Drosophila melanogaster: one gene and its partner. The protein of the gene in region 2 interacts with the protein of the main gene of each other region in a pairwise test. Each region holds a gene or a part of one and is shown on either strand. Other genes may lie near its edges.

Region 1 (8,657 bases), about 11 Mb from region 2:
TCCGCGCCTCTAACAAAGAGAAATTAACGAACACAAATAGAACGCATTCAAGGTACATATTAACCATAAATTAGTTAAGGCAAAGTACAATAACCCCTCGCAATACTATAATGCTGAGAATAGACCAACTCCCATCATCGTGGGGAGGTCACCTGTTCTGGAACTTTTCCCCGAGACAATTTTCTGACACCTTCGTATGACAAATCGTCAAACATCAAAACATGTAGGTAGGTAGGCACCTTGATTTTATTTCGGTGCCGCACTGCCAAACATCAAATTGCGACCTTGGCAAGTGTCTTGATTCATTAGCAGCGTCATCCGAGGATAATGGGACATATGGAGTGAGAAGGGAGGTGTTCTGAGTGGCCTTGCCACGGGGCATCACAGGTTTTGGACGGACAGTGGATCAAAATCCGCGCCGTGCACCCCCACTCACCTGGCACAGAAATAGTTCGGAAAATAGACGCTTGTTTATTTGCGTTTTTGGCTCTTGGCATTTTTCGCCGAGTTTTGGGGGCGGGCTAGTTCTCTGTAAGAGATTCTGACTTGTTTTTCTTTGATTCCCAGCCAATTTCCACCTGCGCACTGCGTCACCGAGCCTTTTCCTGTTTAGCACCCCGCATCCTCGCTCCGAAGTCTATATATAGCGTATGTAAGCGATGGAACCTTGACCAACAACATTGTTATGTGCTGACGTCATCGTTCGAGTGTATTCAAATTACAAAAACGAACTGTTTTCTACATTTTCGAAAGCGTTTTACATGAACATTTTAAAAATCTACATACACTGACAATGGAAATGAACAACAAATAGAACCCAGTTGGTTCAAACATTTAGCATTGTGGTAAACAATTTACGTAGGTATTTTCGATTGACATCGCGGAAAATATTTTACCACATTCATTTTACACACATTTTTTAATTTAATTCCCGAAAAGTATGCAACGGGCAACTACAAAATTATGCATATGAAAATATTGGATATTATTACAACCTTGTTGTTATATTTATAGATCCAAAAGATACCAACTCACATAAAAATAACTGTATGAGATGCAGTCCTAGATATTAGATTGTAAAATAATCTATGATGAATATATTCAATTATTAGTTGCAACTAGCTTTATCCAAAATTTTTAAAAATTGCTAAAGGATTTATCAAAATCTCAGTACTCGCAGCATACCATTCGGGATAAATGTTTTTCAACACACAATGGGATCATCCATAAAAAAAACATTTAAATATCTCACCTGATTCACAATGGCCGCCTGCTCCTCATCGACGTCTTGTTGATGGTCCCTGGTTGGCTTGGGTGAGAACACAGTCGATGGCACCTCATAGCCACCGGATGAGTTCAGCTGGGGAAACACGGTCTGCGGCAACGTGTCCACCGGCAACTGGAGGGCCCTCTCAAAGTGGCTGGGTCCGGGCAAAAAGGGCGACGGACCGCGGTGGGGCATCAGATCCGGAGTGACCGGCGGCAAAGTGGAGTTGCTCCGAGATCCAGGACCTGCCTCCTGAGTTGCACCCTGCGTGTAGGCGATTTTGTTGTCCCTGCAATTTAGAATTATTAATATTTGTCATATCACAGACCATACAAAAGAAAAATCAGTTCCTAACGTTTCTTAGTGCAAATTGATCCAAGACGAAGGTTTCCTTTTGGCAATGGAGTAAAACTTAAGTTAAGTTTTTTATACTATGACTATAATCAACTAACTTTTATGATGATAAAAGCCCTGTTTAAAAAACAGAAAACTAAAATGAAGGTGTTCTCTTTACTCAATACACTTGACACTCGTAGAAGAAATTGATGTTAAACATACGGAACTGATTGGTATCTTTGATGCAGATACACGGATTTCCTGGCTCACCTGTGCACCACCAGGCGGATCTCGTTGCCAGCGCCGCGGAACAGCTGCTGTGCATCCGCATGACTCAGGTCGCGTGCGTCGTACTCGCCGATCTTCGAGATGATGTCGCCTCTTAGAAGTTCGCCATGCGCTGGGCTGCCCACTTGCACCTGCAACGGGTGGGGTGGAAAAGGAGGTGGGAAGGTCATTAGACACACATAGTATAGGGTGCAACGGGCTGGTTGCAACCTTGACACAGATTTATGGGTGCCTAAATAGATGCAGACAGAATTATGATCGCCAAAATGTGTGTGTTTACATCGCAGCTCAGTGAAAAGGGGGTAGGTAGGAAAAGTGGAAATTTTCTTCGACTATTCGGTTGCGCCTCAATTAGTTTTACTGGCGTCGCATTTTGGCAACGCTGCAGCGTTTATTGTTGCTGTGCCCGTTTCGCTATTTTGATTTGTTGTTGTTTATTTGGGCGCTGAGAACAAAGCGGCATGCGGGGCACAAAGGCCAATCGCTTTTCCTCAGGCATTTCTTCTCTGGCTCAATTTTGATGAATGGACCACAAGCGACCACAAGGCGACAGTCTCTCTGGTTATATAACGCCCATTTACCCTGGTGATAATTAGCGGCGTGTCCAGATCGTTGCCGCCCACCAAACGAATGCCCCAGGGCGTGGCCTGACCATCGCGCAGTAGCACCACCGCAAACTCATGCAGCTTGGGGCTCATCCTGATGTTGAAGATAGACTGGAAGATCAGACGCTCATCCGATCCAGCGATGGTTTATCCCGAAAATATATATTTATTTTTTATTGTTTATTTTTTTTTCTGGCCTTTTCTGGCCGAGCCGCAGGCGGCGCGCGATTGCAATCCGTTAAGCGTTTTGTTCGATCGCAAAGCTGCTCAAGTACTAATTTTAAAATACAATTCGTATTCCTTTTTGCAGCAACAGCAGCGGCAGCAGAGTACACTGCGCCACAAGTTTGTTTCTTACATACACATATGTACATACATGTACAACTTATATCCGCCGGCAACGGCGACTACATGCTGAGAAACATGAATTCGATTGGCGAATCCTAATCGTTAAATGGGGTTTCCGCTAAGAGCACTCTGAATTTCTCAGAGCGGATGTCGTGGATTCAAAAAGCATCAGGAGCATTTACCTCGGCAAAGCTCATAATTACCACAAGATAATTAGGCGTATACTTGATAAGCGGCTGCATATCAAATTACGCATACGCAGTGTTAATAAACATGATTGCTTGCATGTGTGCCATGTATTTAAAGCTTTACTATTTTCATTATTATATATACCCAAATCGCGAAGAGCATCCGCAAGCCACCACAAACTCAAACCTTTTCCCACATTGTTCCCATTGTTTAATTCGACGTGTGCCCTGCATTTGTGGCATTCTGCATTTCGTTGACCACATTTTAGGGCAGCACTTGATCCAGTTGCACGCTGACCCTGAAGAGATGAATGCCACATATCATCATCTAGGCGAATGCTTTGATGAGCTAGCTCGCCTGATGCAAAAAAGCATAAAAATCAAGTATCTAGGCATCTGTTTTTCCTCGACATTTTCGACTATTTTATTAGTGTTTTATTCCTCTCCGACTTGTTTGCCGAACGATGAGGCAACCAAGAGAGAGTGTAATTAGTTTTAGTTACTGAGGCGGTACTAGCACAACTGCAACAACCAATTCGACACTCTTGCCCAATTTAAATAAGCAAATCATATTAGATTTTTAATGCATTAGTCAATGGAAAAGTCTACGGCCAACGTGACGTATACGCAATATGAACGGGTCAACGGTTGAAGGACGTTGGTTTGTATTAAACATTCTGTCTGCCTCTCGATTTTGGCAACAATTTTACTGTTTACAGCGGAAAAATCTTTTCCTGCCTTTTGGCTTTTCGCTGAATATATACACAATATATGGCTTGCCATTTCATTTTTAATTTTATACATTCTGATTTCGGCACTTTTTGGCTGGCTCTTGAAATGTTTTTACTATTTGCGGCTTGAATTGTTTTCATTTCATTTTCAATTGGAATTCGTGTAATGTTTTTACGGTGACTTTTGCTGTAGATCAGCCTTGAGCGGATTGTAAATCATTCGAAATTCTTCACCCAACGTCTTGCGAATGGTATAAAAGTCATGCCAATGGAAATATAGATCCATCCATCTTTTTTGGGCCATTTTACTTGACCGAAAAGTGCAGCAGTGGCCAATTAATTAGATTTGGCTTGACAAATTTACGAGCCGCAAGGGGCGAAATGTTATTGAACTGATTTCTGAGTCGGCCTGTTGTGAATTGGGGCCACAAATACATTGGAATACGAATAAGAAAAGAACACACGCGCGATGATTGACAAGCCGGGCGATTTGAAAGGGGTTGGGGCTTCCACTTTTCTCGGCCACTTGGACTTACCCCCACGTTTTGCTCATCGGCAAAATGGACGCGCTTCTTCAGTCCGCTGCTGCTGCGCCGCCTGCAGGGCGATGGCAGCGGTACGAGCGGCGGTTTTGGGGTCGGCTGTGGACGATAGGACGTGGGCAATTCGTAACCGGGCACCTTCCAGAAAGCCGGTCGACTGAATGACGCGGACGCCGATGATCTGCTGGTCGTCATTGCTGGCCAGCGACTAGAGTAAACAAAAGAAATGCTCCGCACATTCAGAAATATGCGCTAAATTCTACGATTCGAACGCGTCTGCTCGCGACTGCGTGTGTGTGTGCACTAGTAGGCAATTGAAAAATCAAATAAAAGCGGAGAAAAAATCAGAGAAAATGAGCGAAAACAGAATATTATTATTCATTCAAAATCCAGTGAAATAGTGAGACGCGGAGAATTATGAATGGATTAATTGATGTTTCAGTTAGTAAATTTGATTGAGCAAAGAAAATACATACAAGCAATATCTAATAATCATGATTTAATCATTTTCATTTACAATTTAAACAATAGCGCCTTCAGCTTTACAAGATCTGGCAACCAGCTTAAAAACAGTTTTTCAATTAATTAATTAAAAAGAACAATACAATTAAGACAGAAGGTAATTACATACATTTTTACGAGGACAGTAAACCATTTAAAATTTCGATTTATTTATAAAATTTAATCGTTAAAAACTTTGAATTTTACCGCCCAATGCACTCAAAAATCGATAGTCGCAGAGAATAATCGATTAGAGCTCGAACCATCTGGCAACGCCCATTGTTTTGTTGTGTTTTATACCTGCAGATTTCACCCAGCATAAAACTGAGATAAAGCTTTAATTAATTACACATAGGGGTACTGCAAGATCTCAGCATAGCCCCGCCCACATAAAGCCGCAGCATGTCTATTTTCAAGGCGCGGTAAGCTGTTATTCTAAGCTAATCCAAACTTCTCCGTAAACAAAGACTTTCTCTAACCAAAATGCAGAGTCAAGGAATTTGAGGATGTTTTGGCGGGGCCACAGGATTTAATTGACCTGAAACAACTCAGGAAACTGGCATTTAATGGTAGAAAGCTAAGAGTGCATTTGAAATGTTCAAAATTTGAAGTCTGAGCACTCCACAGGTGTGCCCGATGTGCAGAGTTTTCGAGCACTCAGTTGGAAGCTACTCCTTGGCTATTTGGGGCCTAGGCGCAGTAGTTGGACCACAACCTTGGCCCAAAAGCGAGCCCTGTATAAACAGTTCATCGAGGAGCTAGTCCTGCCCCCCGGACACTCGAGCAATAGAGCTAGCGTAGACGGAGGAGATGGGGACAAAGTCGATTCGGGGGGCGTTGGCCTGCAAGATCATCCGCTGAGCGAGGGACCCGAAAGCGCGTGGAACACGTTCTTCAATGATAACGAGTTTCTACTGCAAATCGACAAGGATGTCCGCCGCTTGTGCCCGGACATATCCTTTTTCCAGCAGCCCACCGATTATCCCTGCGAGATTGTGGTCCACAGCAAAGGAGAGCATGGACGAAGGCTCCACGAACGGGTGGTTCCCGCCGTTCTAAGTTCGGCGAATGTGGAACGCAAGGGCCTCGGCATGACAAAGGTGAGTTCAAGATCGGAATTGTGCTAGACAATAAGCTCAGAATGTGTTGTTTCATTCATGCATACCGTGTGGATTTTAGCAGCAAGTAAGTAAGCCCATCTGGAACTGCCCCAAACCTAATGAATATGTGTGCTCTATATAGATAAATTTGATTACAAAACGCTCCGTTGAAAACTATGCCGCCATGGAGGAGGGCCAAGAGGCTCACTGGGAAGTTGTGCAACGCATTTTGTTCATCTATGCCAAACTAAATCCCGGCCAGGGATATGTCCAGGGCATGAACGAAATCGTGGGACCCATTTACTATGTTATGGCCTCCGATCCTGACCTCACATATCGCGCCCACGCTGAGGCTGATTGTTTCTTTTGTTTTACCGCCCTGATGAGCGAGATAAGAGACTTTTTTATTAAAACACTAGACGACGCAGAAGGCGGCATCAAGTTCATGATGGCCAGGCTATCGAATATGCTGAAATCAAAGGACCTAAGCATTTACGAGCTACTCAGGAGCCAAGAGCTGCATCCGCAGTATTACAGCTTCAGGTGGCTCACACTGCTCCTGTCGCAGGAGTTTCCACTGCCAGATGTACTGCGCATTTGGGATTCCGTGTTTGCGGACGAACAGCGATTTGATTTTCTGATAAAAATATGCTGTTCAATGATATTGTAAGTAAACTTAGCTTTAGTATAAAGCAAGAACTAATATGAAATTTTGCAGAATCCAAAGGGAAGCAATTTTGGAAAACGACTTTGCCTCGAATGTGAAACTCTTGCAAAACTATCCGCCAATTGACATTAATGTTGTGATTGCTCATGCCGGATCATTGGCGTAGCATTCCTCCAGAAATATATCCTTGTGCCCAAATGCTTGCAAAGCCCCCTAGTTAGTTTAACAACTGAAAGAACCAAGCAATCAACTATACTTTAGTTAGCCCCAATCTTGGAAACGCACCCTTACAGGAAGTCCAATAAGTACACGCATTTTCACTTTTTTACATGACTTATAATTTGTATGTCATTAATAAACGAATTAATTTTAACATTTCGTGGTCCCAATTAGATAAACGTCAGAACGTTAAAGAAGTCATAGGTTGGTCAGTCGTTAAAAGAATACCGATGAACGTGTGGCATCGTCTCATTAAACTTAAACACCGTTCGAAGGTTCACTTGTTAAGCTTTGGAGCTGTGTCCTTGCATATGGACTGTGCAATAAACTCGATGAGTGTCCTTGTTGGACGTCCGGCCATGCCCTCTCGCAGATACTCGAACTCATCACCACGTGTGATCATCACGTTGGTGGCATCCTGGATTAAATCACAAATCAAATCAAAGTCCTACAACTAATAAAAACAAAACTTACAATATGCATCCATTGGCCGCAAGGCACAAATTCACGAAGGAAAGCGGCAGCTTTGCAAGGACGTCCACCACGACCGATACCGTAGTTCTGGACATCACTGCGTCCACCGGCACGCACCGCCTTGCTGTAGTAGTTCCACAGGGGGAAACGCCACACGCGGTCTCCAGTGTGCATGCTGGCGTGCTTGATCTGCTGCCAAAGGATCTCAGAGTTGGTAAACACCCCACAGGCAGCCTCATCCAACGCTTGGCGCATATATCCCGAGCAGGTGCCAATGTCAATGATGCACTTCGGACAGAAGTTCTGCCCGTACAGAAGGGCATCCGCCAGCACTAGAACATCTTCGTGGTCGGTGCACTGCACCTCAATGGTCTTGCCATTCATGGATTTCACCATGTCTCCAGGACGGAAGGAATTGCATCCAATAACGTTCTCGCACAGGGGTATTAGTCCACGAATATTGACCTAACGGTAATATATGGTTATCCAAGGAATAACATCGGGTCATCCAGTCACTTACCGGTAACCTCAGGCCAGCGACAGCACGACAAGTGGCCACCACTACGGCCGCACCAGTCATATCTCCGCGCATGTGGAAAAGTTCCTGCTTCTCCTTTAAGCACAAACCACCTGCATCGTAAGTCACTCCCTGCCCAACCAAGACGATGGGTCGCTCCTCGGCACAGGTGCCGTAGTAGCTCAGCTCCAGAAAGATTGGTGGTTCGCAAGAGGCCTTTCCCACCGCCAAGAAGGCGTGCATCGACTGGCTCTCAGCCCAACCCTCGACTTTGACCTCTACATTGACGCCGGACTTACAAAGCACTTCGACGACATTCTGGGCAAAGGCAGTGGGGGTCAAAAGGTTGGAGGGCATCTCCTGCAACTGGCGGGTCAGGTTCTGCGCGGCAGCCTTTTGCAGGCCGATACGCCATCCTTCTATGTCGCAAATCTCATCCTTAGTGGCATACAGATCGATGGAAGGCACTGAGATTCGCCGCTTGGGATCGCGAAGCTCCTGGTAGATCCAGATCCCGAGAGCTGCTCCCTCCGCGGCAGATTCGGCGTGTCCACAGTTCTCTACTTCGATGCGGTCGGTGTCCAGTTCAGCGAGTATTCGGCAGGCATCCGCTACCGACCGTCGGATGGCCTCCTTCTGCTCGTCGAGCACCTCGTATGGGTTATAGCCCAGGCATTCCTTACCCAAACCGATAACTGCCACCGCCGAATAGTAGGGCACGCGCTCCGGCTCCACGGCGAACAGGAGGCGGGTCTCTCCCCTTTTGGGCATGGGTCCGGACATTCGCAGCACTTCTAGCAACCGACCGTGCGTCTTCTGCACATTGTACTTCCAGCCGGTTGGCGTCAGGATGCCAGCGTCGTTCTTGTCCTCC
Region 2 (6,817 bases):
CGAGCGGAGAAAATAATACATAAACACAGATATGACACGATAAGTTATCAGATATTGATAAGCAATATAGTAAAAAAAATATTATATTAATTTTAGCTTCATTAAAACTAAAAGCTCAAGCTAAAGTTATTTTAAAAATCTTAAGAAACACAAATATAAATATAATTTTAGACAGAATAATAGTTATCCACGACTCAGAATTTCCAAATTATTTCCAGATCACCAAAAAAGAAAAACTTATTCTTTTCTAATTAGAAATGATGTACTCATTTTAGAAGAACTCCTCTAAAATTCTACCATAAGGACCCCCAGAGCCAGCAATAAAATATGAAACCTATGACAGCACTATGGAACTTCAGCAGCCGAGGAAGGTGGAGGCTGGGATCGCCGGGTCACATTATTATACTTTGAGCGGCGCCGAAATCAGGCAAAACTTTCCCGCACACCCTGGACTCCTAAGACCCGCCTGTCATAACAACAGGGCAGGATGGTCGGCGGAAAACTGAAAACTGAAAGCTGGAGGCGACACAAAGGGGGAAACGGTTTTTCCAGGCGCTGCTCTTTTCCACTCCTCGCCGACACACCAACCCAAAACACTCCCTTCGGGATTCATTTTCGTTTCATTCATTTATTCGTCGCTAGCTGCTTTTCATTCATTTTGAACTTTCGACGATTTAATTCGGCTTTCGAGCTGCTTTTCCTTCTTTTTCGTCTCTGTTTCACTTTTTTCCCATTCTGAGTCTGGCGAACGCCTTTGGCCAAGCGACAACAAAAAGTTGCAAAAGGGGAAACAGTACTATATTACGAAAAGAATGCAATTGGGATGCACTGCGAGAAACTGGAGCTAGCTGCTAGATCTGATACCTGACATCGCAGACAGCAAAACAAATCAATGAATGAACTGTCGATTTTAATATGTTTTTACTTTTTCGTAATTGCTGACGAGTAAGGAAGGAACAAGAAACAAAGGAGTACGTTAAATTATACTCCCCTAATTACTCAATTACTCAATTTGAATAATTAAATCATACGATGCAAAAATTTAATTAATTTAAAAATAGTTTTGATATTGTACTATCTATTCCTCAAAGGCAATACAAGGAAAATCTGAAAATAAATGTAAATATAACCTTTCAATGAAGACAGTTCGTAATGAAATGCAGGGATAATAATAAAACTGATATCAATTTTTTGGTTGATTAGTCTTCATACTATTTCTCCTTTACTTTTATGACAAAAATGAAGATGAGAACAAGGGCAGCTTCGTAGTCGATATACCCGATAGAAACAATAAATTTCGGTCCCTGAACCCTTGGCATAAATTTCACGTCTGTATTTCGGTCTTTGTGTGAGCTTTCCTTTCTGTTTATCGGTTTTTTTTTCGTGTTGACCCCACCTGGCTGCCGACCACGATTGCAATCTCCAGTGCTCATTTGCATTTTTAATGAAACCATATAAAGGCGAAAAATTGATGGGGAGTAAAGGGGCCCAAGCTGGACGTCGGTGTGTGGAGCAGCTGCAAATTATGAGCCAAAGGTCCGGAGAAGGACCTTTGCCCTTTGCCGCCGCCTTATCCTCCGTACACATGCACCACTAGCTCGGCAAATAAATCCGACCATATCCCTGGCATATCGGGATCCAAACTGTCAACAGTTTGTCGCCTATCGCGGCGTCGAAATTTTCTCTCTGTAACCAATAAATGTTTCAACATCATTTACATTTGTGGTGGCAGTCTTATCCTCGGAGCATTGGAAGTGGAATTTTCCCGGGGCGGCTACTTCAATCATTTCGGACCTCGGGATGCCTGACCTCAGGCATTCAGCTCGGTTTTCCACCGACTCCGGCGATTGCGTTCTGGGCAAACAGCCCTCCCAGATTTATGGGACCGCAAAACTTTGCTTCACGGCATAAATTAATGTTTAATTGATGAATTTATATGACGAGGGCACGATGCTCGGGCTTACATTGGACAGCATTCCATCATTGTGCGGGCCAGATGTCAAAGTTTATTCGCGGTCGCTTTAAAGACAATTATTTTCAAGATGTCAAAAACACAAGCTCTTAGTATCAATAATACACAATTCAAAGAAATACAAAGTTTTCCGACAATTATTGTGGAAGTAAATTAAAGTTAAAAATATTTATCGTTTTTAATTTTAACAGAATGAACTGCCTTGCATGTAACAAACCGCTTTGCCGGATGTAAGCAGTGCAACCCGAAGTTCTGTAAATTTCCGACAGGGGTCTCAGTTTTCGACATTTTTGACACTGTGTACGAAGCAATGTTTGTAAAGTAGATGTTGTATGTATTTTACACTGTGCTACAAAGTTCTACACTTTTTGTTATACAATAGATACAATTATTAGGGAAGTGTGGAAATTTTTTGAAAATAACATGTGTTTTGCTGTACTCATTATTTTAATTTAGTTCAACGTACACAAATGGTAAATTTAAGCTGACCAGGCTAGGCACTTTTTAAGATCTTATGTGGTCACCTATAGCTTTCTACTACTTATCAACTCAATTGGAAAATAGGCAATAAATAGGATTTCTCAGGCGTTGTTTCTCTGTCTCAGCAGATTAATAATATCAAAAATGGGAGGTCCGAAAAAACTTTCAATGGCATTCGTTTCGAAGTCAATGACTCTGGGCATCGAGATCGAGTCGAATAAGCAGGGGAACTTAAGTAACGACAGCGACGGCGATGTAGATGAATTAAAAAATTGTGAAAATCAGGAATATCTTTACCATCTTTACCATATCTTTACCGGACTCTGATGATAACTTTTGGAAGGACTTTTCTGAACAAGCCGAAGCCTTCAAAGTCCTTAGAAAAGATGTGCGTAAGATCTTCCGAACCTCCTTATGTGAGCTAGAATACAAAAAGGCTGCAAGACACTAAGGCCTCAACATCCTCCGTATCGAATGTATCTTAGAATTATTGGATCGGTAAGTTGTTTCTCTCATTTAATAAACGGTGTTCGTTGTGGTCTTAAATCTCAGAACTATTGTAAAAACTTTAAATAGTAAAGTAGTTTGATTTGTAGCTTTTTTCTGCACTTTGATATATTTACCTACTATTTAAGTTAACAATTTTGTAGTTCTATTTACAATAATTAAGTCGGTCCGAATCGCTTGCAGTCAGTCAGTTAGGTCAGCTCCTCTACCACCACTTGTTGCTCTTGTCCTCCCATTTGCTGCTGGTGTCCTGTTTGACATCCACGTAGCTGGTGGCATGACCATGCCCATGTCCGTATTGCTGGCCATATGAGTGGCTGTGCTCCAAGTGACTGGCGTGTCCCACATGCTTCACGGTTGCCTGGAATCCGTTGTGGGAGTCGGCGGTGTACTCAACGATCCTGGTGCGTCCGTCGGCCTCCTTCATGGTGTAGCCTCCCTTGACCTTGTCGCCATCGCGGGTCTCCCACTGCTGCTTGATGTCGCCGGTCTTGGTGTCCTTCACCCCGTAATTGAATTCGTATTTGGGATGGTGTTTGGGTTCCTCGTGGTGGCTCCACTGGTGGTGGCTATCGTGCGCAGCGACTGGAGCCCACTGCTGGTGGTGATGATCCTGAACTGTGCCCCATGAATGGGCCTTTGGGACATCCACCCATTGGTGGTGAGCCTGGTGGTGATCCTGCCACTGCTTGGGCGCCTCGTGATGCGTCTGGATGCTGTACCCCACGCCGTGTTCGTGACTATATCCACCATGAGGGATGTAGCTAGCAGCAGCCACTCCCAGAAGTGCGCAGCAGAGGATGCTCAATTGGTGGGCCATTTTCGTTGGTTTCTGATTGACTTGCCTGGCCTAAATCACGATTGGAACTGTTATAATCACCAGACAATGCCCAATGCTTTTATACTTCTGGCCATTCTATGGATCGATTAATTACATTTTAGACTGCGGGCTAAATAGGCTAGAAAAAAGTAAGAGCCCCAAAAATGGGTATAAAAAATGCTTCGAATTTTTGTGCAAATTTTCATTTTTCCCCATTCGTATTCATAGTCTTGGGCGGTCGGTCGATTGGCAAATTAAAACTTGCCAGAAACAACAACATCATCATTAAGCGGGGCGTGAACATCGCTCAAATGCTTGAAAAACGCAAAGCTTTTCGATTTTGTTGCTTAGAAATCAATCAACAAGTGTGGCCCGCTTTCAAATTGCTCAGCAATAGCCGCCTCGCCTCGCCTCGCTGCGTTTCCACGGTTGGACCCTCTTTTTCGCCTACTTCACTCCAAATGACCTTGAGACGGACGGTGCGGTAAGGGGCTGAGAAGGGGAGGGCAGCGTTGGGCGGACCGTCCAATCGGTTGGTGTTTCTGACCAGGGGGTCTGCTGTGGGGCACCCAGAGCTTCCGAATTGGTGTTAACTTACCGATAGTGTTTTTTAATGCATATAATTTACAAGGCTAATAGACTTTAAGCTCGGAAATTTGAAATGCGTGAAAATATAAGCATATTGGTATTTAGCCTACGTTATCTGATGTTAATTATTTTTAAGACGTTTATTTGCATAAATTGTTTCGCTATCTATAGGAATAACATGCATATTAAATAAAAAGAAATCCTGTAGTTCAAGTTTTAAAACTACTAATAACTATATAATAAATATAATGTTGAAGCCAACAGATTTCTAGGAAAAACACATAATTATTTATAGCAAAATAGGTTCGCTTTGGATATTTACATAAGGATTTCAAAGTACAACACTACAAAGTTTATTTATTGGTTAGTTTAACAGCATTTCCTTATTTCTTCAAGCAAAAGCTGCCGCCTTCATCAGTTCACATTCTCAGTCATAATTAATTTTTGTAAATTAAGCAATAAGTTCTTGCCTTAGTTTTTCCCTTCTCTTTGACTGAATACCAAACACATCGAACGATCTAACAAAAACTTTTTGGATCTGATATTATTAATTATTACTAGCAGAATTTAATTGTAACGGATTGGACTTTAAATAAAATGTGCCGATTTTCTATAGAGCTCAATGGCCGAAACAATAATAATAAGTACGAGTTAGTGAGGTAATTATCAAATCAGCTAGCTCGATTGGTGAATGGTGTGGCCAAGAGAATGACCACCCGATGGTTGATTGCCCCAGAGTCTTCGATAGCTATATATAGTCTAGGTGAGCTCCCCAAGAACCAGCAGACATCATCAAAGTTCCGATTGGAAAACAGCGAATAAGTGACCGATATGAAATCCTTTAGCGGAGGTCTGTTCTTTGCCCTTCTGGTGGGAGCCAGTTGGGCAGCTCCCCATGGTGGACACGCCACCAGCTACAGTTCGGTGACCAAGCACGAAGGACCCGTCCACAAGAGCCTGGGCTACGGATACGATCACGATGTGGTCAGCGCTTACGGTGGCATCTACGGACACGGCTATCCGAGTGTCGGCCATTCGGGCTACGGATACGGATACGACAAGCACGAGCCCCATCACTATCCCAAGTACCAATTCGACTACGGCGTCAAGGATGCCCACACCGGAGACCAGAAGAGCCAGTGGGAGACGCGGGATGGCGACAAGGTCAAGGGCAGCTACTCCCTCAAGGAATCGGATGGCACCACCCGAGTGGTGGAGTACACCGCCGATGACCACAATGGCTTCAACGCAGTGGTAAAGAAGCTCGGCCACGCCCACCACCCCCAGGTCTACCACAAGGGCTACGGACACGGCGATATCTACGACGCCGACTACGGCTACGGTCACGATGTGGCGCAATATGGCGGATACGGATACGGACACGGAGGCCACGCCAGTAGCTACGTAAGCGTGAAGCAGCTGCACTAAGCAACCAAAATGCGGACTCACCCGGCGAAAACGATCTGGAATCATCATTAGTTAACAATGCAACGAACTTACCTAACTAAAGCCAACTTTTTACAAGTGTAGTATTGACGATATTTATATTTGTATTGAAATAAATAAGCGTAGCTGTTTATAATCAAGAAGGGACGACATTTACTATTTATACAATTATAAATTATTATAAATTATTTATACCTTTATCTACTAGATAGAAAAGGTTAGTAAATACCTTATGAGACAGAAATATCTTATTAAGGTATGAAAAATATATGGAAATGCATTAAAAAGTGGTGTCCGCCTTGCGAATGAGTCTCTGGGAAGTTTTCCCAAGTCACAAGCACTTGATTTTGATACGGATTAGCAGGATTAACTGGCCAAGTGGAGACACGACAAACTCGCAGAGCAAATCGCCATTAATTTATGTAAAGTCGAAACGTAATGCTGGCAGGTATAAATTTTATAATGCCATTAGACAGCTGCAGCGAAGCGTCGACGACGACTTTTACTTGCCGCTCGGCGGCGCCTGAAACCAAAAGTTGGGGCGCCCAAATCGGGGGAGCATGGGATATATACAACATATGTATATATAAGTTCGTGCAGCATATATGGATATAGATAGCTTGGCGGTATCGCGGCTCAAACGGGTTTCGGAACGAGGAGCTCCCGGACGGCAAATAATTGTCAATTAGACCGAGCTTAGGAAGCGACAAACAAAGCAGCTGCAATCTGCTCATCGCAGTTGGTTGCGTCTGGCGACTTGGAAGTTGGATGTTAGACGTTGGATATTGGGCATTGGACGTTGGAAGTGGAACCGGTGAAGCCGGAAAATCTTGTCGCCGGGAAAACGAAGCGAATCGAAACCGAAGCGTTGTGCCTTGCTGTTGTGCCGGTCCTCGTCTTCATCTATAAATACTTTGGCAATGCCGCGCCAACGCTTTAATTACGTTTTTGTCCTTGACATTGAGACCACGGCAGCGGATCGCAGAGCAGCGATTTGTCAGCGT

The links. The genes of interacting proteins can lie anywhere in the genome.
Region 1: the proteins of Cpr76Ba (region 2) and Zasp66 interact in a two-hybrid assay, tested with the Drosophila melanogaster proteins (2 studies listed by BioGRID).

What each region holds. Positions count from the first base shown.
Region 1 is NT_037436.4:8,620,326-8,628,982, reverse strand, and holds the start of Zasp66 (Z band alternatively spliced PDZ-motif protein 66), read right to left. Parts: upstream 4,613-8,657; 5' UTR 4,501-4,612; coding exon 4,300-4,500; intron 2,775-4,299; exon of another isoform or gene 2,590-2,774; coding exon of another isoform or gene 2,473-2,589; intron 2,023-2,472; coding exon 1,874-2,022; intron 1,557-1,873; coding exon 1,253-1,556; intron 1-1,252. Other genes in the region: GAPsec (GTPase activating protein, SECIS-dependent read-through), read left to right, coding at 5,209-5,228, 5,296-5,375, 5,434-5,906, 6,049-6,572, 6,625-6,739; S-Lap2 (Sperm-Leucylaminopeptidase 2), read right to left, coding at 7,070-7,210, 7,267-7,731, 7,787-8,657.
Region 2 is NT_037436.4:19,514,497-19,521,313, forward strand, and holds Cpr76Ba (cuticular protein 76Ba), read right to left. Parts: upstream 3,837-6,817; 5' UTR 3,780-3,836; coding exon 3,165-3,779; 3' UTR 3,056-3,164; downstream 1-3,055. Other genes in the region: Cpr76Bb (cuticular protein 76Bb), read left to right, coding at 5,199-5,795.